Oreochromis niloticus: one gene and its partners. Each later gene encodes a partner of the first gene's protein in a complex. Links are inferred from orthologs where the notes say so. Each region holds a gene or a part of one and is shown in the gene's direction. Other genes may lie near its edges.

Region 1 (8,207 bases):
GTTGAGCAAGCTACAAAACCTCAGTTTGAGAGTGCTGGCAGGCGCGGACCTCCACCCATGCACTCTCGCAGTCGCGGGCCACCCAGAGGTCCACGTGGTTCAAGGGGAGGTCCTGGTGGAATGAGAGGCCCCCCATCAAGAGGTAATTTATTTAGTTGTGTTTTTGGGTCTGCTCAGTTTGTAAATTGGAAGAATCTGTGTAATGATATAATAATCTCTGGATGGAATTTTGTTGCAGCTTTTGAATGTAGTATGTTAATATGTGCATTTCTTGTTTGTTTAAAAGACTACTATGATTCAGGAAGTGTAGAACCCTTCTTTAAAGGGATGTCATCCAGAGGCCCCCCTCCAATGAAACGAGGGCCCCCTATTCGAAATGGAGGTCCCCCACCCAAGAGGTCTGCCCCCTCTGGTCCCATGAGCAGACGTAAGTGCTTGTACTCTGCAATATTTAAATGCAGGAAGTGATGTGGAAGCAATTACAAAAAAAAAGTTAATTGTACAGATTTTAGTCTCTAGATTTCATTTAGTATCTAGTTTCTGTTTCTCTTGCAAGTAACTAGGGATACTTCTGTCTCATGGTAATTTGGTGATTAATCTCATCAGTTTCTCATTATGTGTTCCAGCTCCCATGTCAAGGGACAGAGATCCCTATGGTCCACCTCCACCTCGCAGAGACTCGATGATGTCCAGAAGGGATGATTATCCGTCACCCAGAGATGATCATTACAACTCAAAAGACAGGTTGGTATTTTCATAATACACACTAGTGTGAACATACATGGCAAACCTCAAGATTGATATACTGTAACATGCTGATAGTTGCTGTTGCTTAGAGCTATTGTGGTCATCTTTTTTTATATTTGAATTTTCTGTTTAAAAAGTCCACATATTTAACACAAATTTATGCTCAGGAAACAGAGTTGAGGTGTATTGTAATGTTTCACAGCTACTCCAGTCGGGATTACTCCAGAGATTCTAGGGACTATGGGCCACCTTCCAGAGATTATTCCTATAGAGAATATTCTAATTCCACTTCCCGCGATGACTACGGCTCAATGTCAAGAGGATACGGGTATGAGCCTGGATTGATACAAAAAGTAAAAACCTGAGGTCAGATCTCCCTTGGTTGTTAAGTGACAATTGCTTTTTGCAGTGACCGTGATGGTTATGGAGGAGGCAGGGAACCAAGAAGCTATATGGACCGTCCTAGTGGTGGCTCCTACCGAGACTCATATGATGGTTACGGTAAGACATAACTCCATGAGTGAAATGACAATGTGTAATCGCTGTGGCACAAAGAAGAAGTGCACAAATATTCAACCAAACCTGCCTTGTCCTATCACAAGATACTGCAGTTTTTTTTGCATCCTCAGAGGAAACAACATAGTAATTTATTTTTTTTCTTTCCCTGACCTACAATCCAAGTTGTATATTTTCATACTACTAGAAATATTTTACCATTGGCATCTCCACTGAAAAACAAAAGTGTCTACATACCAAAGTCTGCATTACCCCTGCATTCATCAGGAGAATATGAGTTTGGCAATATCATGTATATGTGATGCACCTCAAAGTTTTTGCAACCATAAGGAACCTCAAAAATCCGTGGAAACATCCGTTGCCCGTTATGTGTTGTCCAGCAAAGTACTCCCTCAAGGAGTAATCTTCGAAAACCATCAAGACAACTGAAAACCTCACCCTAACCTACACTTGGATCTCTAAATGGAAAAATGGCTACTCAAATCAAAGGCATGCTGAAATGGGTACCACTGCCTATTTGTTCTGTGCTTGGATATATTACTGCGCATATCAACAAAATATCCATGTTAAGTATTAAAAGGGTGGAACATTTTAAATATGCCATCCATTAAGTTTTATCTATTTTTTTGTCACAGAATGAATTCTATTGGCAAAAAAAATAGCACTTGACCGTGCAAAGAAAAATGTATAAATTGAACTTTGCCAATTACCTGAACCATTGACCCTGCAGGTAACTCTCGCAGCGCCCCACCTTCAAGGGGCCCCCCACCATCCTATGGTGGGAGCAGTGGAAGCAGTCGTTATGATGACTATGGCAGCAGTTCCCGGGATGGCTATGGCAGTCGTGACAGTTACCCCAACAGTCGGAGTGACCCATATCCACCTAGCCGTGGTGAGCGAATGGGCAGACAGGATAGGGGCCCAGCTCCCCCTGCCGAGAGAGGCTACCCTCCTCGTGACTCATACAACAGCTCAAGTCGTGGAGGGCCACGTGGTGGCCGTGGTGGCAGTCGAGTCGATAGAGGAATGGCTCGCAGCAGATACTGAACTGGACTTGGAAATGTCATTAAACCAAACGTTAGTCTCCATGCACACTTAAAACGTGTTTTGGAGGAAGGACAAACTAGCCATGTCTAAATTTGTGGAATCTGAAGCTTAGTTTTGAACTGTATCTTGACTTTCCCAATTTTTTTTTTTCTTTTATGTGTAAAAGTTTTTTTCTCTCTTGCTTATGTCAGTACAGTTACCAAGTGAGTGTTAGTTTTTTGTACTTTCAGTGCTGTTGAAATCTGCAATGCCCTATAAGTATGGCTTTCCTAATCTAATAAAGGTTTTAGTTGTACCATAACTTTTTCTCATCGATTTTTCAACAACAGACCGTAACAAATGTTACGTAACAACATGATCTCCTTAAAAAGGTCCTCTGTAAAACTTAGGTGAGTCTGCTAAATATTGGAGTGAGATGCGTTCATTCTTGCCACAAATGTACTTCCAACTGGACGCTACTGTTTTCAAGGTTAGGCAAATGTTACTGTCAAAATGTTCCAATGTAGTTCCTTGGAAATGGATTCATCACCCTAGAGCCATTTGATGGCATGCAACGACCAAATGCAACTCGACTGATAGTCAACAGCTGGTAAGCAAAGCAAAACTCTTTGTTTCTCATCTGTAAATGAGTTTCTCATTGTCCTGTATTGCACTCTCCAGTCAAAGGGCGATATTCAAGGAAACTTGGCTTCAAGGAACAAAAGGAAAAAAGGAAGTCGACTGAAATGAACCTTTTCGTTGTAGTCCATTTTCGTCACTCAAAATTGTCAAAAGTGCAGCAACATGCCAAGAAGTTTCTTCCCTTTTCACCAGTGAATGCTTTTAACACCCGTTTTACCAACTGAGCCCCAAGGCTCCTTTTTGCCCAACCAGTCATCCAACATCAGTAAAATGATTGGCAACCGTGCATTTTTTACATCATGGGGTTATATTTAGTAATTTTTTTCCTCTATAAACACCTGAAAGCAATCTTTAAATTAAAGACTTGGTATCAAAATCATTTCCTTGAGCATGCCAATTCAAACAATGGAGACCTTTGGAAGAGCACCATCGTCCTAACTGCCAAACCGAAAAACAATGAAACGAATGTACAGTTGGACCAAGGACAACAATATAATTTTCAGTTACCTCATAATACATAATTAAGAAAAAGGCACCATACTAATATGATCTTCTCATTGCAGGATGAACATTGCTTCAAGGCAATTGCCCTTTCAACATATCTGAATGTCTTCAAGTTGCTGGACTAGTTGAGCTACAGTGAATCTGCATAAGCACGTCTAACAGACTAGTAAGTCTTTATCTACCTGTACACAATTAAGATGGGATGGACAACCTTTACTGCTGAGACATTTTACAGCAATTTTGCCCCAAATCATGAACACAGTGTGTTTATTTAAAATCGATGTGAGCCTGTCAGCATTACTAATGATGTAAAGTCTTCAATAATTGACTACAGTGGGCGTTATGATTATTTTAATACCTTTTTGTATTTTCTGCATGTTAGGTATGTTTTTGTTTGCTTTACTTTATTTTCTGTAACTTATTAATGTAAAATGCATTTGTAAAATGGGAATTTAGAGAATCCTAGAAAGTAGAGCTATGCAGGGCACTTTGATACCAACCCGTTTTTGAAAATGGTTTGATATGCCAAAAGAATTTAGTTTATTTTTAAGATGCTAGGAGGAAAATAATTTGAGAAATCAAATATACTTCTGTACAAAACATTTGAACCTTTTTTTTTGTATGAGGTGCTATGAGGAAGTTCCTCAGTTTGGCCCACTAAATGCAACAAACAAAACTAAGTTGGTTGAGTCCTATTGTGACTCTGTATTTTCTTTTTAGATTACTTCCTGAAAGTCCTGTTCTGGCTGCTGTGTATATTATTTTGTGTATAAGTTGTAAAATCATGCAAAAAACACCCAAGTTTGTTGGACAAATAATATTGTTGTTAAATTTAACTTTTGATGTCTTTTGCTGTCTTTCAGATGCTGGCACAGCTTTCTGTTCAGAGGTCGGGCTGAATCTTCGTATTGAGCAACGCATTGAAAGTGGGAGAAATGTACAGCCATCAAATGCACTCTGTACTGTTTTCAATAAAAGCTTTGAAGAGGTTTTCCGTTTGCTGTTTTGTTGTCCTGAAATTTAAGATTTTGGCCATGACATGATTAAACTTTTATTTTTTTAGCTGAGACACTCAATATCTGCAAATATCACATTTTCCCCATATGTAAGGCTTCCTGTGGCAGATGACCCATTTTCCATATCTAAAAAAAAAAAAAAAAGTGACCCAATTATGTATAAGTTTTTACTCTTTATCATGTTAGACTTAAATAGTTGCCTCTTCTGAATTATCAGTATGCAATTTGCAGATATCGGTCATGTTTTCTGAGCCTTGCTGTATTTCAGTATGTAATTATGATTGCCCTCTGCCAGCATGTGCTACTTTGCAGAGGGGGAAGACGGAAAAAAAAAAACCCTATTGTTGAGGTGCCTATTTGCCAGTAGGGGTGATCATCAGTTTTGCGTGTAGAAACAGCGTCGTCCTCCCCCCCCCCCTCCGCCTCTTTTTTTTTTTTTTAAACTTCTAGCAGAAGTGCGGATGTGAGTTGCATATTGATACGGAACAGGACGCCAGCTATTTTCCTTTTTAAATTAAAAGCAATGCAGGCTTAGGCAATGGTCATTTCGTGGAGCTATGAATCCAGAGGAGCAGACTGTAACGTGGTTGATATCATTAGGAGTGCTTAGCTCCCCTAAAAAGAACATAGCGGATCCGGAGGAGTTTTTGAAAACCTCGCTCAAGGATGGAGTCGTCCTGTGCAAGCTCTCGGAGCGCCTCATACCTGGCTTCACTCCCAAGGTGAGTTATTGATTTAAGCTAACTCGAGTCAACAAATGCCAAACGATCCGTCGACGGTGAAAAGAAGGGAGGGGTTTGATGAAAGTGATACCGACGAGAACTTCTCCCTCCAGCAGGCCTTTGCGATTTTGTAGCTCACTGAACTCGAACCATGAAGTTTGAACAGCCGTCTGTGATAGTTTTGCGCGATGCGTGTCGCGTCAAAAACAACAGCAACAGTTAGAGTTTCAGACTTGCGAATACACGATATGGTTTCCTGTGAAGCGACAGAAATGTTCCGCATTCTTGAGAGGTGCGAGCCAGTGTGAACACCCACCAAAACAGGGCAAATTCAGTAGCAAGTGTGCGCTAAACATTGCGCATAGACCGTACTGTACAGAACAAACGGAGGAGTTTGCCACACTGTTTGACTCCTTTTTTTAAAGGTGATAAATTTTAAAACAACTTGTGTTCACTGTTTTAGATGGCAAAGTTGATAGTGATAAATAACAGTTGCAAAGACAGTTCGTCACTTCCTCCTGAGCGGCTGCTCTTCCCGGTGCGACCTCCCCTTTGAAGAAAAAAAAAAAAGAACAAAAAAGCGCAAAGCGGCGACAACGTGAGCCCGAAACAAAATCGGAAGTACTAACTTCTCCCTTGTATGGCAGACGGATCACCCTAGTTTTACATACATTCTCGGTGGCAATACAACATTGGTCTCACAGGAACTGTTAGAAGTTTGCTTAAAAAAACACAAACGTCAGCTTTTTTTTTTTCGTCGATGGGGATTTTATTTTGAAACTGTAAAATGAGCGGAAGTTGCTTGAGTAAGGCTACTTTGACGGCGGTTTTGAGGTGGTAATGGTTATATATGCATGAAGGAGACGCAGGAAGAATCTACAGTTATTTTCTTAACTTTAGGTTGCCACAGTCGGGTTGCGGCATCTCTTTTACTTACTGCGGGGCTCAGTGTATACTGAAGTGATTTGTAGCTTTGGCCTTGAGCGTTTGATAAGTGTGTCAGATGCCTCTTTGACATACTAAGCCGAGGTATGTGTTTATATATTTATTTCGTGTACTCAGTATTGCCAGGACCCGAGAACTGAAGCAGACTGCATTTCCAACATCAAGGAGTTTTTAAAAGGATGCTCGTCCTTGAAAGTGGAGGTAAGTTATCTCAATGTGTGGTCTGTCAAGTTTTATATTCAGAGGCATGTTTTGTTGAAATACACTGACCTCACTCTGCCGTTATCTCCTAATTGTCTACTGCAAGATGTGAACACTCTCTTGCTTGTGTTCTGATCTGCTTACCCTGCTGGCATATGCTTTCCCCTCACGTCCATGTGGAGTGAGCCATATAAACAGACATGCTGTCACTCACTCTCACTAATCAGTCAGCAAGTGAAGTGCTGGCCTGCATGACTTCACTGTCTGTTTTCAAATTGGTACAACTTAGTTCTGAACAGCATTTACTTCCTTGTTAATAACTTTTCTCCTGCATGCACTCGTGACTTAATGGTTAGTTTTGCTGCAGGTCAAAAATCCCCAAAGCAGTGCTGTTTCGCTCAGTGCATTCCCTAATATTGAAAAGTGGTGTATCATTTCCAGATGTTGGGAGGTTACCCTGTCTCTGTACCAGCCTGTTTGTTACCACCACACTGGACGTTAATGTCTCTTCCAGCTTTAAAAATAATATTTTTTGGTCTTGAATCACAACGCTTGGTTTCTTTAAAACAGCCAATTGAGTCAGCAAGGCTGGCTGACTGCAAAGTCAAGTGGTTCAGTAGGTCTGCCCAGCTGGCTTGTTATGTCTGGGAGGTCCCCTTTGCTTTTATCCACCAACTGTGCCCTAGCCCATAATTAGACCTTTTGCAGCCAGCCAGTAGCTCATGGGCAGAGGTTTTTGGAGAGGCGCTATTAAATGTAGCAGCCAGGGGATGTCTGTGTGGCATTATGGCAAACCTCGCCCATCCTTTGGTCAGTGATGTGATCATGTTAAGAGAACTTTTCATCCCTTTTTGCTATAGCTGATAATGCCTGTTTGTCCTGTGACTGGAGAAAGCAGTCATTCTGCTTTCACTTCTGCCCCGAGATGCAGAAAGAGGAAGCATCAATTACTGTTGGGGCTCTCCAATATTTGTTCTGTGTTATTAACTGTATGTGAAGATTTATTTGCTTTGATTTTTACACTCATAAATACATTTTCACTGAAACTACTGACCCCTGCCAAAACCTTTGTGAATGCTGGCAACAGTTATCGTGATGACCAACGGTTTGTTTTGCTTTTGGTGATGTAAAGCCAGTATTTGTAAAGGTAATGTTATGTGCCAGCTTTCTTTTTCCCTTATCTTTTTTTTCAACTTGTAGCGCAAGTCTTGTTAGTTACATCGACCCTAAGGCTCGTCCCACATTAAGCGATGTAATGATCACACTTATAGATGTTGTACACAACTCATAATGCAGGTTATACTACTCAAACCCTATATTTAAGATGTTTTATTTAAAATGTGAAACCTTATCCACTGGAGGAAAGAAGATAGCTGTCTGAGACTGACCGAGCAGCAGTGTGCGAGTGAGCATCTGTGTGTGCCTGCAACGCTGCCTGTTTTATTACAAACTGCTAAGACACAGAATATGGGTCAAACATGTCAGTTTTTGTCTGTCTTGTTAGAGGCTTATTCAAATCCCTGTGTGCATTTCATTATGTGTGTCTCTTTCCATTGTTTGTGCAATAACCTGGAGCGAGTGTCTCTGTCTCTCTAGCTGTGGATGTATGCACTAAACAAGTGCAAGATCTATTTAATCAGAGGGGGAAGGGGAAAAACAGATCTAATTTTGACCTTTTGAAATTTTCCATCCAGGTGTTTGAACCAGAGTGGTTATACACTGGCGACAATTTTGGCAAGGTCCTAAATACTTTGCTGGCGGTCAACTTTGCAACACAAGGTAAGAATTTGCCTTCTTTCTGATCTTGAATGTTGGAGATTGTTAATGTTTCATCCTCACTGACAGCATGTTATGAAAAGAAAGAATTAGATGCCTTTTCAGTAATAAT
Region 2 (8,374 bases), on another chromosome or scaffold:
GAAAAGGGCTCTGGGCGGTCTGCCGCTGGTGGATCCTCCCTGCTTTTTGCTTTTGGCATACTGCTGCCTCTTCTTCTGTGCCAGTGAGCCCACAGGAGCTGGTGCAGAAGTGGTACAAACTGAGGGACGTGAACTTATGTTGGGCTTTTCAGGATCGCCCTGCGCTTGCCGGGCTGCGCTAATGGCGGCATGCCAAGCGAGGACCGGGCTGACTCCGGGGGCAGCTCCACCGGGGCCCTGAATGGAGTTGTTGGCCCCGAGGAGGCCATGAGCGGAGCCGACGGGCTTGCCGGTGCTAGCTGGAGGATGAAGTGACTGTGATGGATGGAGCTGGTGCAGATGGGTGTTTCTTTCTGACCAGGGAGCTGAGGTGTCAGTTGGGGGAGTGGTCCTTCTGTTGCTGGCATACTGTGCCCCTGGAGAGAGCGAATGGGAAACAAGGATAAAACATTTTGAGATTGAAGTTATAAACAAAAACACTTGAACATGTGTGTCATTGGAGGCACTGCAAAAAAGCTGCGACATTCCAAAATCCAATTTTTTCCACATTTTTACAAGTCAGAAGTTTTCTTAGCAAGCATTTAAGGCTCATATCTGCCAGCCAGTAATAATGCAGATGATACACTTACTTTGGATCCCTATACAAAAAGTAACATATCCAAAATCTACACTAATATTCAGAGTATGAATCTACGCTCATGGGGCAAAACAAAGGCACAAACAGGATAAAAACACTGAACTCCACAGGGGGTTCTAGAAAAATTGCTTAAAATGTGTTCTTAATCTACACTATTCAAATGATAAACTTGCAGAAATATATTCTTATATTAGCTCAACGTGTTTACACTTCCATCAAGAACCAGCCACTCCAGCTCACATGTTTTGCCACAGCCAATCATTGAACAGTTTTCGGAAGAATATTTTTTGAGGCCCTGACATTCTTGTGTAGACAAAACACAGTAGCATCTCCATATATCTCCATCTTGTGGCTCTCCTGCCTTTGGAGGTCACGATTTCCGCAGCACCAGCAAAGACAATTGCGTTTGCTCCTTTAACGTCTCACAGATGTATTTTCTTGCATTGTCAAAAAGACAAGACTCCATCCTTTAAAATCTGGGTCAGAGAAATGCTTTCTATGCTGTGTTAAAAAAACTGAGTTACAGTAGAGCCAAGTCTCTGGAAAGATTCAGAACCACCTGGCTGCCTTTCACTCATAATGCAGATGTTTTTGTCTTATTAATGTACATAATAATGGCACACTCATGAACTGATGGTGAGTTAAGGAGAATGACTCCCCCCCATCCCTATCATTTATACTGTTTATGTAATTATATCAAATTGGGGGGGTTTTTCTGTCTTGTACCTGTAATCTTAGGGGTGGATGTGAGGAACATTACATTGTTTTGCTTGTTTGTTATTATTAAATTATAAATAAAATCTAAAAGAAATTAAGTGTAAACGATATATATATATATATATATATATATATATATATATTTGGCTGGGTCCCGATATATCAGCTGCCATATGTCTCTGATATATTGGCTATGTTAGCTATTAGTCCATATATTGGCAGAGGCATTACTATATAATGGCTGATAAATTCAAAGTGTAAGAGTGAACAAGCGATGGGAAAAATACCCTTCAGCCATGTTATTAGTCTGGATGTTGCATTTTTTGCCCACCAGAAAGCACTCTGCATTTTCACTGTTGGCAAAGTGATGGAAGTCTACAAATTCAACGATCAGCTGGTCACATAAAGGTGTAATCCACAACCTGCTGTGACAATAAAATGAGATTACTTTTAAACAATATTGTCATGATAGGACTCATAAATAATACCCATAGTCTTGGTCTTAAAAATCAGTCAGTCTTTAAAGTGCTTTTCAAACAAGGACATCAACATGCTTTCCCTATGAATGAGGCGACTGAAGATAACTGCTAGAATTTCACTTCAGCTTTTTGCAAAAGTCTATTAGGATCCTAAGGGCAGTGGACATACATATATAATGTCGACAACATTATCACTACTTCACATTTAAACTTGCCTTGTACAATTACTTGTTGAACATGCAATTAACTGTCCTCTAAGAACCCATCCAGAGATAAAATGGGCAGAAAAATAAGAAGAAGTGATTATGGTGATTATAATTATGGTGATGACGGGCTTGAAAGGAGCCCAGAAAAGACAGCTATAGAAAGAGAAAGCAGAACAGCCTGCATGAATGGGAGAGACAGAGAGCGTCATTAAAATCAATGCAGACCATGAGCTAAAAAGACAGTGCCCTTGACACAGTCGCACACTGCAACTCTATAGCACAGTCACATCGGGGAGTGTTGTCAGCTATAGACTGACCGTGTCATCCAGCAAAAACAGCTCCAACACACAACTAAGCAAATAAAGAAAAAGAAAGAAAAAAAATGAGAAATCTATTTGTGTGGGTCATGTGCAATATGAGAGAGAGGCACAAAATCTGAGAAGAATAAAGCTTTTCTTTTAAAAGGTAATGATTACACAAAGTTGGTTCCTTTATCAGATTTCAGGCAAGCTACTTAATTTTATTACTTTTCATCAATATTCTGGGCTCGTCTGTGCAAAATCATAGTCACCATGACTCGACGCTCACGGTGTAGTCAAAACATGATAGTTTATTATGCGGGGAAGTCTATCCGAAACATCACTTCACTTTAATTGCGCTTGATGTCAGCGCGATCGCAGGTGAGAGGTGCATTCAAAACATTTCATCACCACCCCTTCTCATACAGCGATACACCACCACCACAGGTGCAGCAGAACAAGTGCACGCTGCTAGTTAATAATAGTCACAGCCTGTCCGACATGTAAAAGGAATTAACCCAGCGCTTCTGTTGGATGTCGCACATCTGTCACAAGATGCTGGAAAACAGCTGTTGACTATGTTGCTGTGGTCGAGTTTTGCTGCTTTTGTTTGGACAGCTTTTAAACTCTAAAAGAAAAACTTAGAAGAGAAGGAATTTACTTAAAAAGTTCATTTAGCGTCTCGCAGCTTGTTCTGGAGAGCGAATATATTCAAAGCACCCTGTCACATGGTTTCAGAATGACCGTTATAGTCAACCATTTTTCGGAGAACTAGCCTCAACTCGCTTCCCAGTGGATCTGAGAACTGATGTTATCACAATAATGTAGCCTACAAGCGCTTACAGTGTTAATACACAATCCCTGCACTGGAATAAGTTGGGGAGGGAAAAAAACATGTCAGCAGCAGCCACGACTCAAAGCATATAATCACACGGATTAATCAGAAATCCAGAGAATAAACCGAACGAGCGCTCTCGCCCCCTCTCCCTCTCTCTCTGCTGCGCTCCAACTCTCCTCCTGCGCTTCCACACGCACGTTTTTGGGGTTTTTTTTTTTTTTTTTACCTTCAGACTGTTCATCTGCTTCTTGCATCCTCGAATCCACATCGAAAAGATCCGTTTTAAATCCAACTCATCGTTGGAAAAACCGTCCGAAGGTGTCGAAGGCGCGAAACCTGAACAGAGCCTTTAACCTGAATCATAAAATGTTTTCCGAGCGCAGACCCTGAGAGGAGCGCCAAACATTTTCGCCACATCCGGGTGCCTGCCTGCAGATTCACGGCGTATCCGAGAGGACGCGCTGGCAGGGGCAGTCAATCCACTGCTGTCAATTATCCTCTCTGTGGCTGGGGACGGACTGACACAAGTTGGAGCAATCGCGTGGGCTCCACTGTGCTGAAATCACGCGCGCCCACCAACTGGAAATGCACCTGTTGCCGCCTATTGGGAAACTTGCAAAGAGCGAATGCGATCATCTCAACGTAAACATTAAAATGTTTTTAACTCTAGACGCCAGATGTTGCTTTAAAAAGAACCCTCTAAAAACAAAACAGCTGACTGGAGAATAAAGTCGTGCGATGACATCAGAGAGCAATGAAGACAGGGAGAAATCAGTATATCCATCTCACTATATATATTGTATGATCCTAAATTAAAAACTGTTGCAAGGCTGCAATTAAAGGTCGTTTAAAGTACAACCGTGTACCTCGGACTGTCTCTACTTTAAAACTATCCACGGGTCTCAAAACCTCCGAATCTGTTTATTCTTTACGATTCGGTTCAGCGCTGTGATGAAGGTCATGAGACACGTGACTACGCAAAAGAAACCAGTCGGAACAGTGAACAATCTGCTAGAAACAAATGGTGACAACTATACTTTCCCTTAAGAGGGAAATTTCTGTATTTGAGGATGAACACCATGTCCGTATCCTATCCTATCCATCTGAAGAGTTAAACGCTCGGACTTACCCCTCAGGGGTCTTGCCCTTATGATGAACGGCATTAGATCACCTGGCTCTTCTCGGGGGCCTCATTGCGCTTTTTTCTGTCCTCTCTCCGCGAAGATTCGAGAGGAAATGGGATGTTAGAGCGGTGCTGGAAGGTTACCCGTGATTGGATTACCTGAGCCTGCGGGATAAAGTTTCACGGTGGCGCGTAATCCCCAGATTATAATCCTGCTCCACTGTTCCATAAACTGCAGGTGAGGGAGGCAGCTGCAGCTCGGTCCGGACGGCAATCCTGCACAATCCCACTATGCATGCAATGGGTTTAAAGTATTATGTCCAAATAATTACAATAAGCACAAAGAGGTCACGCCAGGACACAGGGGCGTTTTAACTTTTCACTATCAGTCTGCCATTTCGAATAAAGTTCGGAATTAACGTGACTATAGATGAGTGCGATTTCAAATAAAGAACATAAACTAAAGAAGACATAAAGTGTTACAGAGGTTCAGAATTAAAACACACAGCTATAAATATCGTTTTTCTTTAACAGGTTTTCCTCAAATAGGTTTTACTATTTGGAAATTATATCCTATCCTAAATATCTAATCATGCCACGATTATCATGAGTTATTATTATTGTTGTTGTTATTATTATTATTATTATTATTATTATTATTATTATTATTGTTGTTGTTGTTGTTGTCGTTGTTTGATCGACTTTGAAGCTCAAAAGAGTCACCAGATTTTTTTTTCGTACAAACATTTTGTATTTAAGCTCTAGCTAAATGCGACTGACCAGAATTACAGTTCGAATTAATATGCGGAATAAATCAGTGCCTCGGAAACTTTTTTAAAGAGCCGTGGTTTCCGGGGACATCGGAAGTTATATGTGTCTGCTGAATTCCGTCCGTGCGGGAGCAACAATCATATCCAAGATGGAGACCGTAAATGCTGGACATATGATGAGCTTAGCTGCTCTACAGAGGCACGATCCATACATAAACAAATTGCTCGATGTTACCGGCCAGGTGGCTCTCTATAACTTTAACTCCAAGGCGAATGAGTGGGTAAGTTTGTAAGTAACGTACAGAGTTTTGCAGAAAGCCGTCAAAGCTAGCTAAGTATTTGACTTAGCATGCTAGCTATTCTGTATAAACAAAAAATACAAAGAAATTTGATCATATTTGTGGAAGTGAACTTTATTCGGGTAATGCTTACACACGTTGTGTTTTGCCACCACTGTCATTTTGATAATTGTTTTATTTAATTTTTTTTAAATGCCAATAAGCGTAATCTTTTATGCGCTAGCTATAGTTGGGCTAACAGCGTCCTTTGCTATTATTCAGCATGTTTATAGTTTCTGACTCATACCTTCACTTTTTTGTTTTACAGGAGAAGACTGAAATCGAGGGCACCCTGTTTGTTTATGCAAGGTAAGCACGTGAGGTTTTTATAGTAATGTAACGCGTTGACCGCGAGGGCTTGTTTACTTGTTCTTACGTTTCACGCGCTGTCATTTGACGTGTTCTACGCACGTGTGCAGGCCTCAGTCTTTGTAAACAAACACGAATTAGATTACGTGTGATTTTTATTCGCTCACAGAACGAAAATTGCAGCCTGTTTAAATAGGAAATTAATAAGTAAAAGTTTTAGTAAATTAATTCCACTTGAAGTGTAAAGACTTGTTTGATAAACAGCTTTAATGCGCATCGTTGTTTTGAGGGCTGTTCACGTATTCATTTGAAAATAACGAAATGTTAGCAACCGATTTAATTGGTTATTGATTAATATGAATATCTTTCATAGAATTGAGAATTATGTAATTCTCTGAAATTCTCATTTACAAAATGTATATAGTAAACGAGAATCCTACAACCTACCTCCAAGCCTGAGGCCATGGTTCTCAGCTGGAAAAGGGTGGAGTGCTCCCTCCAGGTATGGGATCTTGTACACAATTGAGGGGAGAGGGGAGCGTGAAATTGATGGACTGATCGGGGTTTACAGATTCGCGGTGGTAAAGAAAGAGCAGAGTCCAAAAGGGAAACTTTCAATCTTACATCCCTACCTTCAGCCATCCGTGGCAGTTTAGGTGACCACATGGCCAGAGAGCAGCAGCCAGGGTTTGACCCCCCCCCGCACACACTCACTCACTCACTCTCTCACACACACACACCGCTTTCCTGTCTGTCTTCGTTGTTCTGTCTGTCAGGCAAAAATGCCCCCCAAAAAATAAATAAATAAAATGAAATGGCAAATCCAAGCAGCTGAAATGAGTTTTATCTAAAAGGTGGCTGGCCTGTCCCTTAGAGATAGGATGAGAAGTTCAGTTATTCACAAGGGACTCAGAGTTGAGCTGCTACTCCTCCACATTGAAAACTAGGCAACTACGGTGTTCTGGTCATGTGCTACCAGAATGAGGCCATGGAGTAAGCTCAGGATGCCAAGAACAGTACAGTACAAAACCGGTACTATGTCCAGCAATGACCTGCCACAGGACCTGAAAGATGCATGTGGTCTTTCAATTGATCCATGCACTGTTTACTGTAGTGTCATCAGAAATGATCTCACTGAAAGGGTGGCTATCAAGAAGCCACTCTAAAGAAACAAAAATGGGATGAAAAGGCCAAACTGATCTGAAAATCAGTGAACTTTTTTTTTTTTAGATGTGCTAATTCTTTGTCATAAAAAATCATTCATGGATGACTAAAACTAATCGACATAGAGAGATGTTTTATCAGTGAGGTGATGTTTTATGTTTTTTGTCCCTGAAAGGTCTGCTTCCCCTCACCATGGCTTCACCATCATGAATCGACTGAGCACGGAGAACCTTGTAGAACCAATCAATAAAGACCTGGAGTTTCAGCTACAGGATCCATTCTTGCTCTACAGAAATGGCAACTGTGAGTGTTTTGTAGTCCAGTTACACAGAAACAGCAGATGTCATGTACAGGAGATACATATTTCTGTGTATGCTTGGACTGAAATCGGATGTGCTGCAGTACTTCACAGCTTCTCGAAGTTTGAGGGAACAAAAAAGACCACTATCCCAGAATATCAGCCAATGTTTCTCAGCTACATAATATTTCTCTAGTACAATGTTTCTTCCATAATATTGTGCTGTATCACAAAAGGTAGTGTCGAAGAGAAACACATACCATAGCTTTGAAAGGCTCTGCTTTAGACAAAAAGAGATGATAATTTACAAGAAAAATTACACGTTAACTGAAAAAAGTAAATATCCAAACAGACAGTAAACTTTCGACCTTTCTCTAAATGTTACTGCACTCTTAGTTTTTATTTCATGAACTTAAAAAAATGAAAAATGTTGTGTTCAAAGAATTTCTGCATTTCTCTACCTGTAGATTTTGTTTTAAGTTTGTTTGCTGTATTGGTTTTATTTAATTTTTCCTGCTCAAACGCAATAATGCCAGAACACATTAGTACCTTTGAAAATGCTGGACAGACACCTCCCCAGTGTTCTCTGGAACAGCTCTTCTCCCTTTTGCTTGAAGTCCTTCTTGTATCTTGGAGAATCAAGGAGGAAGACCTTGTCATTCATGGCCTCAGACTGGTCTGTCAAACCACACAGTATTCAGCTTGGTTTGGCCACAGTTTTCATTCTGTATTGGGCCAACAAACAAAAAGACTTTGGGTTCTAAGGGGTGAATTAGGCTTCTACTATATAAATATTTTTATGTGCGTTGCAGTTTTTCCTGATGACTTATTCCAGTGAAATCGTCTAGCGTTATGAAGAGAGTTTAGCAGGGAGTAGGATCAGATGAAAAGGCTTGAAATAAATCCTCAAATCCTCAGAAAGTAACTGACAGTGCTCCCACCGAGGTAATCTATCAAAAGTCTGAACAGAAGTTTCATTAAGGCAATGAACAAGGAGTTGGATTGTTTTCCCATTTGTTTGCTAATGAGAAAAAATAACATGGCCAGGCTCAGCGTCAGAGTGGACTGCTCCCCTTTAGGACTCGGCTTGCCTATCAGCCTGCCTGGTATGGAAGACATGATGTAATTTTTTTTTGTTGGTATCCGAGTCGGAACAGCTTTTCCAGGTGCTTCACAGGAGTCCGAGTGCTGCTGTT
Region 3 (7,467 bases), on another chromosome or scaffold:
TAAACTTGCTTCTATAGCCAGCCTTAAATGGGAATAGTAGGAACTGCAGCCCTGGAAGTCACTGCTTACAGTAACCACTCTAGGTCTGTGGGGAATCTGTGGGAAAACCCACATATAAATTAGTTATTAAACATTTACAACTGCAGATAACAAAGCTGCTTTCTTATGAAATTGGCAAACGCACGACCGATTTATTAATGACCTCTTAACAGTAAGAATTTGACAAACTGCTGGCCGTGCATCCATTCAGCACAGCACACCACATAGTTAACAAGTCAACATGGTGTTGCTTTTGCAAGTAGTCCACTGGTGTTTCCAAACCCATACAAGTTAGAAAACTCAGACACATTATACATTCGCCTGATATATTTTTTTTATATGGTTTTCAAACACTGACACTGGCTGTATTTGTGCCAGTAGTCTGCTCAGTTCATCGGTCTGCCATTCACGAGGGTAGATTAAAGGAACAGGCTCAGCCCTGAGGCTACATATAACCTATGGAAAGATGACAGTGAGCAAAATGGCATGTAGTGACATTCACAGAATTTAACATTTACCACTAATAGCACATCATCTTCAATTTTTTAGATGCCTGGATCCTTGGCATGGTACGCACCACATTGTTTGGTGCATATTTATTGATAAAAATGAGAATTTTCATTTTAATATATTCTGAGATAAAAGTTTCTCATTAGTTGTGGGTGAAAAGAGGCTATTTATGTTGTTCTTTGTCTGATTTTAAATTTCCTGGAGGAGCACTGTACTGTATCTGCATTAACCTGCAATAAAATCCATTTGGACTCTCTGAATATGCATATGTTTCCCAGAACATGTCATAATGAAGTCATTTCTTTTGACCCTGTTATATGTACAGTATACTATCGCGGCACATTCTAATAAGGGGGAAGGAGTCGGGTGAATGCATTGTAGGTAGGAGGAATATATTAGTCACACGCAGTTCAGTAATAGGATGGGAGGGAGAACTCCAGATCTGCTTCCCAGAGCAGAAAGTCTGCTCTTAATTTAGAATAATGCATTCACATTAAAATTCTTTCTGTAAAGCTTTGCTTTAAGAAAATCTAAATGTTTTATTAATGTTGTATTAAATTATATCCTACCACAGTGGACCAAGATGGAACTTTCAGAAAGGCTGAGCTTTTATATTTCATAAATGTAGCACATAAAGTAACATGGATCCAGTTGTCAAATTCAACCCAATTTTTTGGGGCTTTTTACTTTTTACCGAGGAAGAGGAACTTTGCATGTATTTCCCAAAGCTAAATAAATCTGTGTTGGCAAAGATGAAAAAGAAACTTCCAGTTCTAGCAAATAAAAAACAGAAGTATGATAAATAGTGATGTGGGGGTGGAAAAAAACAAACCTTACATAGATTTGTGAAAAGAAAAATATATATTCAGTTCCAACTCCCTGCTCTTGAGCTGCAAATGACGCAAAGCTGGTTATACTTTCTCTTTATTCTTTCTTTAAAACTTTTACGTAAACTTTTATTTAACAGTTATCGGCGGGTCAACAATGTATGGTAGCTAACTGAAATGTATCAGCTTATTTCAACAAAATATCTTTACCTACAAACCTACCTTAGGCTTAAGCTTGACAAGAGGTCAGGCTGCTGGACTTTCAGTACAGTGGTATAAAGCCTGAAAGCATGAAGGATTCAAACAACATCTGTCTTACACTGAGTGAAATGAAATGTTAGTCAAACTGAAACAAGCAAATACAGTAAGGGAGCATCATCATCATCAACAATGACGAAAGAAAGGTCACACACACACACACACACATAGGAATTACAAGAAATACACACACATCCGCTGAGAAGCCCCTAGTGATACTGCACAGGATGTTTTGAGTGTGTTATGAGACAGAGTTGAGCACTTTGACAGTTTGGACAGAGGCTTTTCTGTAGTCTGGAGCCGCAGTCTTTTATTGATCTGTAGCATCCTTCAGAGGGCAAGTGAGTGAAAAGGCGGCGCCCAGGATAAGAAGAGTCCTTGATGATGTTCGGGGTCTGACATGAGCACCAGGGTTCTGTAGATCTCCTCAAGTGCAGTGTGAGTGAGTGTTGTTGGTTGTGCCGATTGGATGGTTTTCTTAAGAGCCTTTTTGTCAGCCTTATTGCAGTTGGAATGCCACACCAAAACTCCATAGCTGAGTGCACTTTACACTGAGCTACGGCAGAAGGACACCAGCAACTGTTTGGACAGTTTGGCTTTTGTAAACATCCTTAAGAAGTTGAGCCACCTCTGAGCCTTCTTCACCAGAGAGGCTGTATTTATATTCTATGTGACGTCCTGAAGGGATGTGTGTGTGCCAAAGAATTTAAAGTTGGACACTCTCTCCACAGTGTCTCCACCCATGTGTAATGTGACAAGTTTCTCCTTCTGTCTCCTTAAGCTCAGGATCAGCTTTTTTCTTTTAGAGGTACTGAGTGTCAGGTAATTGATGGAGCACCATACTGACAGTTCATTCCTGTAAGCAAACTCATCAGCATTGTGTATTAATCTCACCACATCAACACGGTCATCTATAAACTTGATGACCGTGTTAGTGATGTGGATTGGTGTGCAGTCATGCATATCGCGAAGGGGCTCTATTGGATTGAGATCTGGTGACTGTGGAGGTCATTTGAGTACACCAAACTCATTTTTTGTTCAAAAAAACCAATTTGAGATGATTTGAGTACCAACACCATTCCACCACCAGTAGCAGCCTGAACCATTGCTACATGGCATGATGGCTCTATGCTTTCATGTTATTTGTACCAAATTCTGAGCCTACTATCCAAATGTCACAGCAGAAATCAAGACTCATTAGACCAGGCAACATTTTTCCAGTTGTGTCAGAACTGTACCCCTGCTTTTCTGTCCTTAGTTGACAGGGTAGCCACCACTGTGGTCTTCTGCTCCTGTAGCCCATCTGCCTCAAGCTTCAATATGTTATGGATTCAGGGATGCTCTTCTGCATATCTTTGAAGTAACAAGTTGTTATTTGAGTTTCTGTTGACCTCAGCTTGCTGCAGTCTGGACATTTTTCATCAGACCTCTGACACCAACAAGGCATTTTTACCCAGAGAACCACCACTCACGGGATATTTTCCCTTTCTCTGATGATTTTCTGTAAACTCTACAGATGGTTGTGTGGGAAAATCCCAGGAGATAAGCAGTTTTTGAAATACTTAGACCCATCTGGCACCAACAAGCATGCTGCATTAAAAGTCACTTAAATGACCCATTCTGATTCTCAGTTTGTAATTTAGCAGGTCATCTTGGCCGTGCCTGCATGCCTGCACTGAGTTACTTTCATGTTTTGTGCTTATTAGATATTTGCATTAATGAGCAGTTGAACAGATGAACCTAACAAAGCCACCGTTGAGCATAGACATACATATATAAGCACATATGTCTCCTGTTATTAGACATTTGTAGGCGAATAGTCTAAACTATGTATGTTTGTGTTTTTTAAAGAACAATTAAATCAAATTTTTGGTCAGTTTTGACAGCCTTAATGCATAATGAGAGGTATGTTCGCAGGTGCAAATAAATCCCGCAGTGTTTCAAAAACGTGGTGCATTCCTTGAATTGTAGAGTCAGTGCACATCTGATGTCATCTAATGGTTACGCCTTTTTTAATCAAGTGAAAGCGAAAAGTCATTCATCCTACAAGCCGCCAAGGTTGTTAAGAATTTCTAATCCCACTTCATTTATTTATCGTGGAGACAGAGTTTGAACAACAGAACATTAACCGACCTGTCTCCATACAAACATCAGCTTAAGACAAAAGAACAAAGCTTTCTGCACTTGCGGCTCTTCTTTGTGCACTATACTAAGCTCCCCAAGCCTTAAGAATGAGCGTGTTGATTTCCTGCGTGCCCTCATGTAGACATGCTGGTATTATACCATTTAGACTGCAGTTTCACTAAAGATTGGATCTGTCACACACAGTCAAAGTGATGCAGTACATGTAAGCTGTGAACTGGCTTAGCGCTCTGCGTTGCAAGGTTACATAGAGGGGAGGGAAGAATAATGCCTCAGTGCCTGACTGAGTAAGCCCACACTAGCAGGTGATTGCTTTCTTCCTCTCCTCAGCACCTCCTCTTCTTCAACCTTTGCAACTCCCCTCTCCTCTCATGCTCCTCCCATTTCCCTGCCCCTGTGTACCTCATAAATCTTCATCTGCAGTACATGTGCTCCATGTAAGTCCAACACATCCACTTTCGCAGCAAGTGAGAGCAGGAATGAGAGAAAGTCAGAATGAGATTGGAGACACTTGACGAGGCAATAAAAGCAGCTCATTTCTTCTCCCGCACCTTTCTCCTGGCTCTGTTTGCTCGCTCGCTCCTCGCTCGCTCACTCCCCGAGCTGCTACACAGACTCCGTCATCAAAACACACACAGTGAGGCGTGCTGGCTCGCTCACTCTACAGCCACACAATCTGGATCAAGCATTGAAGATGCAGCAGCAGGGAAAGATGTCTTCTGATTCCCTGTCAGGTAAAAGCAAGAATAAGATCTGTGTTTCTCTGCCTTCCTTCCCATTTCTTGTCATCACCAGTCATCCTGTTTCCTCTCCTTACTTCAGTGTTAGAATTCTGGATTCTTTCTCCAGTTCTCTCCCTCTCTGTATCCATCTGTGCACTTTCTGTTTGTGTAATTCTTTGCCTCGTATGCATGTCCATGAGTGCAAGTGTTGTGTTAAAAGAGGTGATAACCATGATGATTGTAACTGTAAATTACATAGTGTGTGTGTATGTGTTGTATTTTTTTCCATATGGCAGTGCTGAAAGAGTACATTAAAGTGGAGTTGCTCGTGCTACTATGACTACCTCACTTCATAGCTGAGAAAGTGGATACGGACTAGAAAACATTGCATTCTTCTGACCTAGATATACTGACAAGGCTTGTGCTGCTTTTTCCTTCAACTTACAGTGTTTAATAGGTTGCGGCTGATTGCCAGAAAGTGTTGTTTGAGCTTGCTCCTATAGAGTGACAACATAATTTGCATGCAGGTCGTATGTGAATTTTAAACCATGAAAGATCAAAGCAAGTAGCTCGGGCTGAGTTAGAGCACATTTACATTTGCTGTGCTTGGTCTGTGGAGGTTGATAGCTGCCCTCGGTGATGAGGATGATCCTGCTGTGTATTGAGTTGGGAACTAGACTGTTCGCACTCATTGGTCGTTTGTTGTGTAATCCATTTGATTAGAGCCAGAGGGATAAATTCGTCCTCAGTGAAGCCTACTTTGATTTATTGTACAATGAAAGGTTTGATAATTCTGTTAATGTGTCGCGGGAATCTCAGCATCAACCTAATTAAGGCTACTTAGTGAGAACAAGAAGTTTGAAAAAAAAACTTGGCGAGGTGTAGAGAACAAATTGAAACTGTAAATGTAAAGAGGCCCAAGATTTTTAAAAAAACTGATGGATAAACCAAAAATGGACCAAAAACAAATATAATTTGGCACTGATTAAATTATGAAATGTAACAAGCTGATTTAGTTTGATTTGCATTCATATTTTTTAACAGTACTGAGTGTTGTTTTGCCTGTTTGTTTTTTGAGCTACATTAGCTCGGCACCTTACTCTAACAGTCTCATGAACCATTTCTGTCTTGAGCTTTTCTTGACCAACTAATAGGTACAAAGCTGAACCTACGACAGTCCCCTCATTTGCCTACTGAGGAAAATGAAGAAAAACTAAACCTTAGAAATTAGAAAACTGTCATAGAAACATCAGTCCATGTTACATTTTTATAAACGAATGCTCATTTATTTATTTTTTTGTAACACACTGATGACATTTAACTTTCTTTCTTTCTTAGTTGGCAGTTTTGATCCTCCATAGATGATGTCTTAAGTAGAATGTGAAGACTTCTTCATACACTGAAAATGATTATGTGCAAGTTAATAGAGGCCAACCAGGTTGTCACATGTTATTATCAGCTGATATTACCTACCTGCCAATATATTGATTTGGCATTTATAACAGCTGATTAATGACAATAAAAAAGCAAAGTAGAGCTGTGAGAAACACCCATATTCAATAATTATGAATATAAACGTTCCATAGTTTGAACACCACAAATACAACTTGCTGAGCAGTTGAGCAGAGTATAAACGAGTAAATATAGAATACACATAACAAATGAAAGGAAAATCTGTTTGTTTCCTTTTATTAGATATTTTTATTTATTTTTTTAATATCCACCAAAATATTGGAATATTGGCTTTTTGAATAACCAAATATTAGTATTGGTATTAAAAATCCCATATCAGCAAGCTGTGTAACATAGTTCCTGACTGACGTATTTATGTATATAACATCACCAAGTACATTAAAAACCCATTAATAAAATATTGATAAGTTGTCTCTAAGTGTTAAATAGAGAGGGTTTGGTTTCTCAGAACATTTCTTCCCTCATCTAATTTTGATGCCTCATCCCATCTACTTATGTTTAACTTGTTTGATCATAGCATTTGGTCTTTTATTTTGGTTAATGTGGGCAAGGGGGACTTTTATGTTTAAGAGTCTTCAACATAAAAGTCCCCCTTTGGCCACATTAACCAAAATTAAATTAAGAGGATGCCTGGCAACAAACAAACCAAGAAATCAGGAAGGGGGCAAATATTTTTTCAAAGCACTTTGAGTTACAGTTAAGTAGTGAATATCTTTATTGCACTCTTAAAACACTGAAAACAGTTGGCGTTTGTTTAAATGACTAACATTGCTGTATTGTGCATTATGGCAGTTGGAAGACAAAATAAAAGTGACTCCCACAGTGTTCTTCATTATTTACTGACACATTACTCCTGTTCTGACACGACACCTGTCACCCATCGCAAGTTTCATCCAGGCTCCAAGTGAAATCTCATCTCCTTTGCTGCTTTTCATCTGTGAGCAAGACAACAGCAGAAAACACAGCTGCACAGTGCCGAGATGATCGTGGCACAGATGTGTACTTCCCGTAGACGAAAGGCTGTTATTAGTAGAGCTATCCTTATATGAACAAGAAACGCAGAATCTACTCTGTGTGTTGTATTGGAACCTCAGCACTGACAATAATAGCTGGTCAGAAGGGTTACATAATCTGTGTGAGTGCAAGAGAGAAATGTGAAGGTTCACAGGAAGTTAAATGCAAGTGAGGAAAAAGGTAAACCATCAGCAAAACCGTTTATTTAATATAGAAATAAAGTAAAGAATCGTCCCTGTCAGCCTCTTTGCATTTCAGCTGCATGCCGCTGTGGTTTCCCTTTTTGACAGCAGTACTATTTTTTCTGATTGTCTTGGCACAGATTCTACAACAGTTTGAATGTGAAAAAAAACTCTTAATCAAAGAACCAAACTGTACTGAAAGGAGCTGGCAGCAAGCATTTCCCTGAAACAAACTCCATTTTCACGAAAGACTTTGACCATCTTTTATGTCACAGGAAATTAAAACAGTGTACTCAATAA
Region 4 (7,623 bases), on another chromosome or scaffold:
GTGTCTCTGAGTACTAATGGTGTACTGATGCTTTCTTTGAGGGTAAAAGATGAGGCGTATGAAACCAGTCCAAGTAGTTTCTGGTCCTGTTTCTCTTTTCATGTCACAAACTGGATGGTAGATTAGTGAATGTACTCTAGGACAGTTTGATTCATGTGTACAATGTCAGAAAGGAATTTTTTCCAGCTGCCCCCCCCCAAAAAAATGTTCACTGCTCAAAAAAATTGAAGGATATAGCATCTTGTCGTTTAAACTTCTGGGATACTGATCTGATCGGTAAGTATCAGAGGGCGTTGTTAGTCAGTTTCTGCTGATTTGATGTTAACGAAATTACCAACAGGTACTCTAGAGGGGCAACAGTGAGACAACCCTTAAAACAGGAATGGTTTTACAGGCGGAGACCACAGAAATATTCTCCCTCCTTATTTCCTGCTGGCTAGAGTCAGTGTGACGACTGGTAGTATGAAGCAAGACCCCACAGAGGTTGCACAGGTATTCCGCCTTCTTCGGGATGCCATTCTAGCAATGGTATCAATCAATGCCATTGCTAAAAAGTTTTCTGTCTCCCACCACAGTCTCAAGCTCAAGAGCATGGAGGAGATTTCAGGAGACAAACAGTCACTCTAGGAGAGCTGGTGCCATTCTTCTGGACCTTCAGGAGGTCCTTAACCCATTAGCAGGACTGGTATCTGTTCTTTAGAGACAGGAGGAACAGGATGAGCACTGCCAGAGCAACAACACAAGCTCCAGCAGGCCACTGGTGTGAATGTGTCTGACCACACAATCAGAAATAAACCTCATGAGGTCTGAGGGCCTGGCGTTCTGTAGTGGGCTCTGTGCTCACTGCTCATTGGGGGACAAGATTGGCATTTGCCATAGAAGACCAGAATTGGCAGGTCCATCACTGGCAGCCTGTGCTTTTCACAGATTAGAGCAGGTTCACCAGAACATCGTTCAGCATGAAGGGTTTAATTGTGGATCAGTGATGGTCTGGGGAGGCATATCCATGGAGGGACGCACAGGTCAGGCAACAGCACCGAGACTGCCATCATGTATTGGGATGAAGTCCTTAGACCAACTATCAGATCCTATGGTGGTGCAGTCAGTCCTGGGTTCCTCCTGGTGCACAACACATCTCATCTGGAAAGTATGCAGACACTTCCTGGAGGATGAATCAACTGATACCTGCATGCTCACCCGATAGAAAAGCTCTGGGATGTTAGTCCACCTTATACCGCCAGCTTGCAGATTGTCCAGGATCTTATTAATGCCCTGGTCCAGATCATACTGCCAATGAAAACTGCCATTGAAATGTCCTCCCCATGCAAATTTCCCATGAAAACTCACATTTGATCCACTGGACCATCAGATTGTCATCTACTCGCTCATAATGTACTACTGCTGTTGCTTCATGATTTTCAATAAAACATATTCAATCACTTACTGTCCTACACACAGTCAGGCTTATGTGTCTCTCATATGACACGTTGCCCTGAGTCCAGCACACATCTTGGTACAGTCCAGAGTCTTAGTCCGTCAGGTTGTTGAGAGTAAAAGAAGAACCATGAAATGTCTCAGGAACTGAGAGTCGTCCTGTCAGATCTTCATGTACTGTGAAGTGCAGAAGTTGCCCTCATCTGGGAGATTGAATCCTCCTTCCTCGATTATCACGATAAATTCTTCTGCATGAATGTTGCTGATGAGAGTGAACATCAGGGAGAAGCAGAGCTGTGCGACTGCAGCCATCCTGCTCAGAGGTCTCCTGGTGAGTGTCGTACAAACACTGACACTGCTCGCTTCATGAGCTTCCTATTTGAGGTTGGAGGAGGAACGCCACTTCTTTATCTGATCATCAAGAAACACTTTGAAGCACTTGGCTCGATATCAAGCGCTCTGTCTATCAAGCGGCTTTTATACTTCACAGCTCTCACAAAGTTTGTTGTGCAGGTTCAGAAGTATCAGATGTGTGATCTGGGGGACTAAACGGGGCCTGTGTGTCCAACCCAGCCCACTGGATAGTTTTGAAAGTACATTTTACAGTTTTATGGTTTGTTCTACAGTGATGTAATACACATCAGATAAGAAGAACTTTGAAAGCCTCACTTATATATTTCATCGTGTGTTTTGGTTTTTGGATCTGAATGCACAGAGCGTAGGCTTAAACTGTGTCACATCATAGCCACAACATATACACGTCCAGGTTTTGGGGTAGTGGGGATTTCTCCACAGCCATCTTCATCTTCTTCTAGGAAGACACAAAAGCGTTCCTGGGGCTGCCGAAAAACAAAGTGTCAGGGTCTCCTCCAGGTAGAAGACGTCTGAAACACCTCAGCTATGAGGTCACTAATGACCAAGCTCCTCACCATATTTTTAAAGCTGAGCCCAGACACTCACAGTTTTCAGTGCCAGCGCCTCATGTTCCTTTGACTTGGAGTACTGTTATTTCCTTGTAGTTGTAGACTCTATTTGGAATATCATGTAAACTATCTGCAGTACATTTGTCTTATTTTATTTAAATCCATTAAAATCTCTTTTGTTCTATGCTCAGCTGTCAGTCCCCCATAAGAAAATATCACCATCAGAGTCAGAGGACTAGTAAAGTAATTAAAATTCAGCCTCTATTACTTGTGAATATCTGGACAAAATTTAAGCTCTCTCTCTCTCACACACACACACACGCCGCTAATATGCAAAAAACCATTTTGATGTGTGTGAAATTGTTTGTGTGTGTGGGAGGAAACGACTCAAACCACTGAAAGCAGCATATCTACAGACAAAGATAATAAAGAGATATTTTCTTACTTTCTGTTTTCTTTCAGTGTGACTTATTATTTTATTTTATGTTTTTCTAATCATTGTCCAAACAAACTGGGAACATTAGAAATTATTTTTTCATAAGATAGGCAGTAAATGTTTATTGTGAGAGTCGTGTATATAGTGAGTATATATTGTTTATAATTGTAGGAAATTTTGGAAAAATTTGCTTCAGCAAGGACCTGAGCAAATTTTTCACTTCCCAAATCTTTCTAAACTTTTTTGGGTTTTGGTTTTTCAGAACTAGAAAACAGCTGTTAACCTGTTTGAGTTTATGTGCGTTCCTCATTTCCACCGTGAGGTTTCAACAGCCTCTCGCCACTAGATGGCGCCATCCAATTCTTCTTCTCATGTAGTTGTGGATCATTTAACCTGACATGATATGTGATTGGATGGAATTAATATCAAATTTATTCTAAATTCTTTTTTCTTCTGTTTTTTTCCCCATAAAGTAAAACCAGAAAAATTGTTTCTCTACATGTTTAATTTGAGTTTGCTGGAGGAGGAAAAAGAAAATAATATAATTTTATCTTCAGATTCTTAAAACGCTTAACAGCTTCTTAAATTTAGGCTTTTTGTGTATCTCGGGTTTTAAATGAGAAGGAGCATTTATAGATGTTCGTCCAGTTATTACAGACACAGCATATTTTTATAGAGCGTTACAACTTTTCTTAGGCTCCCTAATTTTGTACCCTGGACCCACTTAATGAGGCAACAGTACATAGAATAACATGTTTAATTATTTGCTTTGAAAATTTTAGATTAAAAAATTATATATTTTTAATATAATAATGTCATACATGCAAATGAAAGTTCTGGAGATATAATCTGTTTGTTATATTTATTATTTCATAGGTTTCTTTTATTTTCCCCTCTTCATTAGGTTAATTTCACAAGCATGTTCTTTGTTTACCGTGTCGTTTACCCCAGTAGATCTGTATCATCAAATAATTGATTTATTTGTTTTTACAGCAATTTTCTGTTAATTGTTTTCATTGTTAAAAGAAACATTAAAAACATTAAACTTACTTTTAATTTTTTTATTAAAATGAGTCAGATGGTATTTTTTTATTTGAGATAACATAAGACATCTTAAAGTTCTGAAAATGAGTTACAGCAGTTAAAAGTACAAAAGAAACAAAAACATGTAACAATTAGCGTACATAAGGCTAACTGTTACATGTTACATGTACAAATAATCTAGCTTAATACAATAAATCATTTATCATAATGATATCATGATAAAGTAAAAATCTTTCCGTTACTTGTGTTTAAATATGCTTCGTAGATAAAACGATTTGACTTGCATTTTCAGCTGACTGGCACAGACTGCTCCCATGTCTGTGTCTTAATAATCAGATCTTATTCATGGTTTCATAAATTCCTTATTCTTTCTGCTTTCAAGATCTACTGTCAGTGTTAAACTTGAAAGCAACGCCGGGAGCCAGTACCCAACGAAAAGTAGAATTTCTAACTATTTTTTAGTGTCACTGAATGCAGCACAGCGCGCTGTGAACCGGGGCGCTGCGACCCGCCCTGGATTCTAGGGGACATCTGGCTCAGCCAATCGGAGGAGAGAGAGGCTGAACAGGGTCCAATGGCGCTGGAGGAGGCGGGCGTTTCTGTGCAGCAGCCTTCTCTGCGCCTCGCTAACAATAGGCTGGGTTCGGCAAGTTTACTGTTAAAAAAGCAGCCAGGAGGGAGACGGAGCACAGCAGGGCTGAGCCGACAGGGTAGCGGAGTTTTCCCACTACAGGAGACGTGGTGTCCCGGTGTCGGAAATTACCACGCAGGCACTGTGGGATTTACATTTACGACCGGACAAGTGGTGAGTAAACCTTTGGACTTTATCTCTGAATTAGCCTTGCATCTCCATTCTCAGCCGGGCATGGTGCGCTGGGAGCTCATTTGCGTGAGAATAGAAGGGGTTAATGATTACTGTAGGCTGGGAGCGCACTGTTATCTCCTTATTCTGTCCACTGCACCTCTATATTAACGCCCCGGAACCTGCAGGCCCATAAAACCCGCACAAAGATCAGAGCTTGTAACAGTCTGAGGAGTGGGTGGTATGATTATTATTTTATTACACCGGCAGGGGCGTTTCCAGGGTTTTTTTCCACGGGGTGGCACATGTGGAGACCAAGAGCAAGGCACACGGGGGACCACGGGAAATCAGAATATATCATCAGAAATAAATGCAGGAGAAAAATCTGGCAGAAAACACAAAAGAATTTCACACTGATGTGCAGCAGTGAGTCCAAACACAGATGAAAAGTTTCTCTGAAGGTTGTTTAGTACGTAATAACTGATTTAGAAAGAGGTGATAGAAGTATTTAGTTTTTACTTAAGTCAGAAATACACAGGTGGGCATTCAAGTACAGGTACTAAAGTAGACATACACATTATGTGGAATCATATACGTGTGGTGGGATCATAATTATGTGTGCCTATGCCAAGAGGCACACATATTACTATTCCTCGGATTTATTATTATTATTATTATTATTATTATTATTATTATTCTCCAGTTTCCGCCTGAAATTTTGCAGCGAATCTCGCCCCGCAGTTTTGAGACAAGCTTCATATATGTTACCTCATTTTGTGCGGCCGGATCTGGAATGGTGTGCTATGACTTTTGGTCTTTATGAATTTTATAGTTTTTTAAATATTAATATTTTAGTGAAAATTTTCCCGCGCTCCTCTGCCGAACAGTTTTGACATTAGGGTTACATATGTTAGATCATTTTGTGCGGCTGGAGCTGGACTATTATGTCATGACTTTTGGTGTTCATAACTTTTATAGTTTTTTAAATATTAATATTTTAGTGCAAATTTAGGCCAATTCATCTTTTGGCGCCAAATAAACAGACTTCATTTGTGGTGTGTTGGCGCCATCTTTTGGTCCCATTGAAACAAATTTCAAACTTCATTTGTGGTGTGTTGGTTCTCTCTAGTGGTATGCCGGGAGTGGTACAGCCTGTCTACCCTTATTTGGATACCGTAATGATGACAATATCAATGGCGCGCACAGCCTCGCTGCTTTCAGGAACCATTGGAGATTTTAAGGTTGCGCGAACCATTGAATCGTTACGGTAAACACAATGGCTTCTATGCTTGGTGGAAAACTCCATATCCCACAATTCATAGCACACCTCTGCCGAGTTAAACAATGGCGGCCACCACTTCGTTTTATATGTCTTTTATTAGTGTTTCTAGGTCACAAAATAAACTTTTAAGATATTTTCAGGCGAGAATGTAGGTGTGTAAACTTCAAATATCTGCTTGTTTTATCAAGACATCCCATATTTAGCGACAGTGCTCTGACTACGTCGGTCCTGCCTGACAGCTAGCCGGCTATCTAGCTAGCTGCCGCACTTGGCTGCAAATGGATAGCGAGGGGACTCTCTGTCGTTTCACCTCCCTTGTCTCTCGCAAATGCTCGCATAGAATCGGAGTTACAGCTGGATGTGGAAAAAATAACTGAGTTGTTTGGTGGTGCTATAACGCGGAGCTACAACACTGGGCAGCTATCCACCGGTGTATGACAGAAAGGACATGCCGCGACCGCCGATCGACCGGTGTTTCCTAACGCGGAGGTCAATCGTGGATCAGGGAAAGCGAAGGCAGGAGCGTGAGGTGAACTGAATTTCAGGTAAGAAGTTATGACCTGCACTCTATTTGGGTCAGATATAAACCGAGTTTAGGTGTAGTTTATTTAGCAGCAGTTCTCTTATGTGTTGCTGATAGCCGGCTAGCTAGCTAGCGCCGCTAGCATAGTTAGCTAGCACCGCTAGCGACCCTTCGTGAAAAAGCACCCAGGCTTGGCTTATATTGAGGCGGGTGAAACTCGTGTCAGCACCCGGTCGCTCGCCGACAGTATGTGTTTTAGCTGGACTTATTTTTCGTTTATATGGACCGATGATTTATTTATTTATTCATTTTAGTAACGGTATAAACAGTGAAAGGTGGTGGATTGGCCAGATGTAAACTTCAAATATCTGCTCGTGTTACCAAGACATCCCATATTAGCTCTGATGTTTTCGGTGCCTGCAAAGAGCTAGACAGCTAGCTAACCCGAGCTGGCTGTCTTTTTGACTCAGGGTCATAGCTGGACTTATTTTTCGTTTTTATGAGCCGATGAGGGTTTTTTTTTAGTAACGGTACAAACAGTGAAAGGCGGTGGATTGTCCAGATGCTGGTCGATGTGGAAAAAATAACTGAATTGTTTGGTAGTCGCTGACGCGGAGCTACAACCGAGGGCAGCTATCCACCGGTGTGTGTCAGAAAGAACATGCGGGGAACGAGGCGGCGAGGTGACCGCCGATCGACCGGTGGTAGATCGTGGATCAGGGAAACCGAAGGCAGGAGAAGCAGGCGGCTGCCGGTCGGAGCGTGAGGTGAACTGAATTTCAGGTAAGAAGTTATGACCTGCACTCTATTTGGGTCAGATATAAACCGAGTTTAGGTGTAGTTTATTTTCGTTGTGCTGACTTTTTACAATCAGTTATAATAACTCGTACTGCGTGGTAGCTAGCACGATGGAGTTTCTATACAGCTGTGTGCGCGCTAAGTTACTGATGTTGAACTTTATGACAGCCTCCCCTGTCATTCTCTCGCCTGTTCAAACTTCAGTCATGAAACTGATCAATGATCGGCTTTTCTCTCTTGTTTGTTTATCGCGCTAAACAACAGCAGCACGTTTAAGCTTGATCAGCTGTTGTTAGAATTCATTTGATTTTAATTTCTAGTATCAGCTGATGTTTGCTGGAGCCACAGCTGTAGAAGCGGCTGGTCGAAACCAGGAGATGA

Evidence for each region.
Region 2: arhgef6 (region 1) and dcp1a share a complex: the UniProt entries of both Homo sapiens proteins name them as parts of the cytoplasmic complex. The link is inferred for Oreochromis niloticus from reciprocal best matches to the Homo sapiens genes ARHGEF6 and DCP1A.
Region 3: arhgef6 (region 1) and dab2ipb share a complex: the UniProt entries of both Homo sapiens proteins name them as parts of the cytoplasmic complex. The link is inferred for Oreochromis niloticus from reciprocal best matches to the Homo sapiens genes ARHGEF6 and DAB2IP.
Region 4: arhgef6 (region 1) and pak1 share a complex: the UniProt entries of both Homo sapiens proteins name them as parts of the cytoplasmic complex. The link is inferred for Oreochromis niloticus from reciprocal best matches to the Homo sapiens genes ARHGEF6 and PAK1.

What each region holds. Positions count from the first base shown.
Region 1 is NC_031966.2:19,367,984-19,376,190, reverse strand, and holds the start of arhgef6 (rho guanine nucleotide exchange factor 6), read left to right. Parts: upstream 1-4,875; 5' UTR 4,876-5,008; coding exon 5,009-5,173; intron 5,174-6,235; coding exon 6,236-6,319; intron 6,320-8,013; coding exon 8,014-8,098; intron 8,099-8,207. Other genes in the region: rbmx (RNA-binding motif protein, X chromosome), read left to right, coding at 1-142, 287-427, 627-744, 950-1,075, 1,157-1,248, 1,994-2,310. UniProt on the Homo sapiens protein: Acts as a RAC1 guanine nucleotide exchange factor (GEF).
Region 2 is NC_031984.2:24,736,037-24,744,410, reverse strand, and holds the start of dcp1a (mRNA-decapping enzyme 1A), read left to right. Parts: upstream 1-5,167; 5' UTR 5,168-5,170; coding exon 5,171-5,350; intron 5,351-5,675; coding exon 5,676-5,716; intron 5,717-7,055; coding exon 7,056-7,183; intron 7,184-8,374. Other genes in the region: cacna1db (voltage-dependent L-type calcium channel subunit alpha-1D), read right to left, coding at 1-416, 3,403-3,430. UniProt on the Homo sapiens protein: Necessary for the degradation of mRNAs, both in normal mRNA turnover and in nonsense-mediated mRNA decay. Removes the 7-methyl guanine cap structure from mRNA molecules, yielding a 5'-phosphorylated mRNA fragment and 7m-GDP.
Region 3 is NC_031972.2:15,120,325-15,127,791, reverse strand, and holds the start of dab2ipb (DAB2 interacting protein b), read left to right. Parts: upstream 1-4,261; 5' UTR 4,262-4,470; coding exon 4,471-4,510; intron 4,511-7,467. UniProt on the Homo sapiens protein: Functions as a scaffold protein implicated in the regulation of a large spectrum of both general and specialized signaling pathways.
Region 4 is NC_031979.2:35,549,773-35,557,395, reverse strand, and holds the start of pak1 (serine/threonine-protein kinase PAK 1), read left to right. Parts: upstream 1-4,454; 5' UTR 4,455-4,642; intron 4,643-7,623. UniProt on the Homo sapiens protein: Protein kinase involved in intracellular signaling pathways downstream of integrins and receptor-type kinases that plays an important role in cytoskeleton dynamics, in cell adhesion, migration, proliferation, apoptosis, mitosis, and in vesicle-mediated transport processes.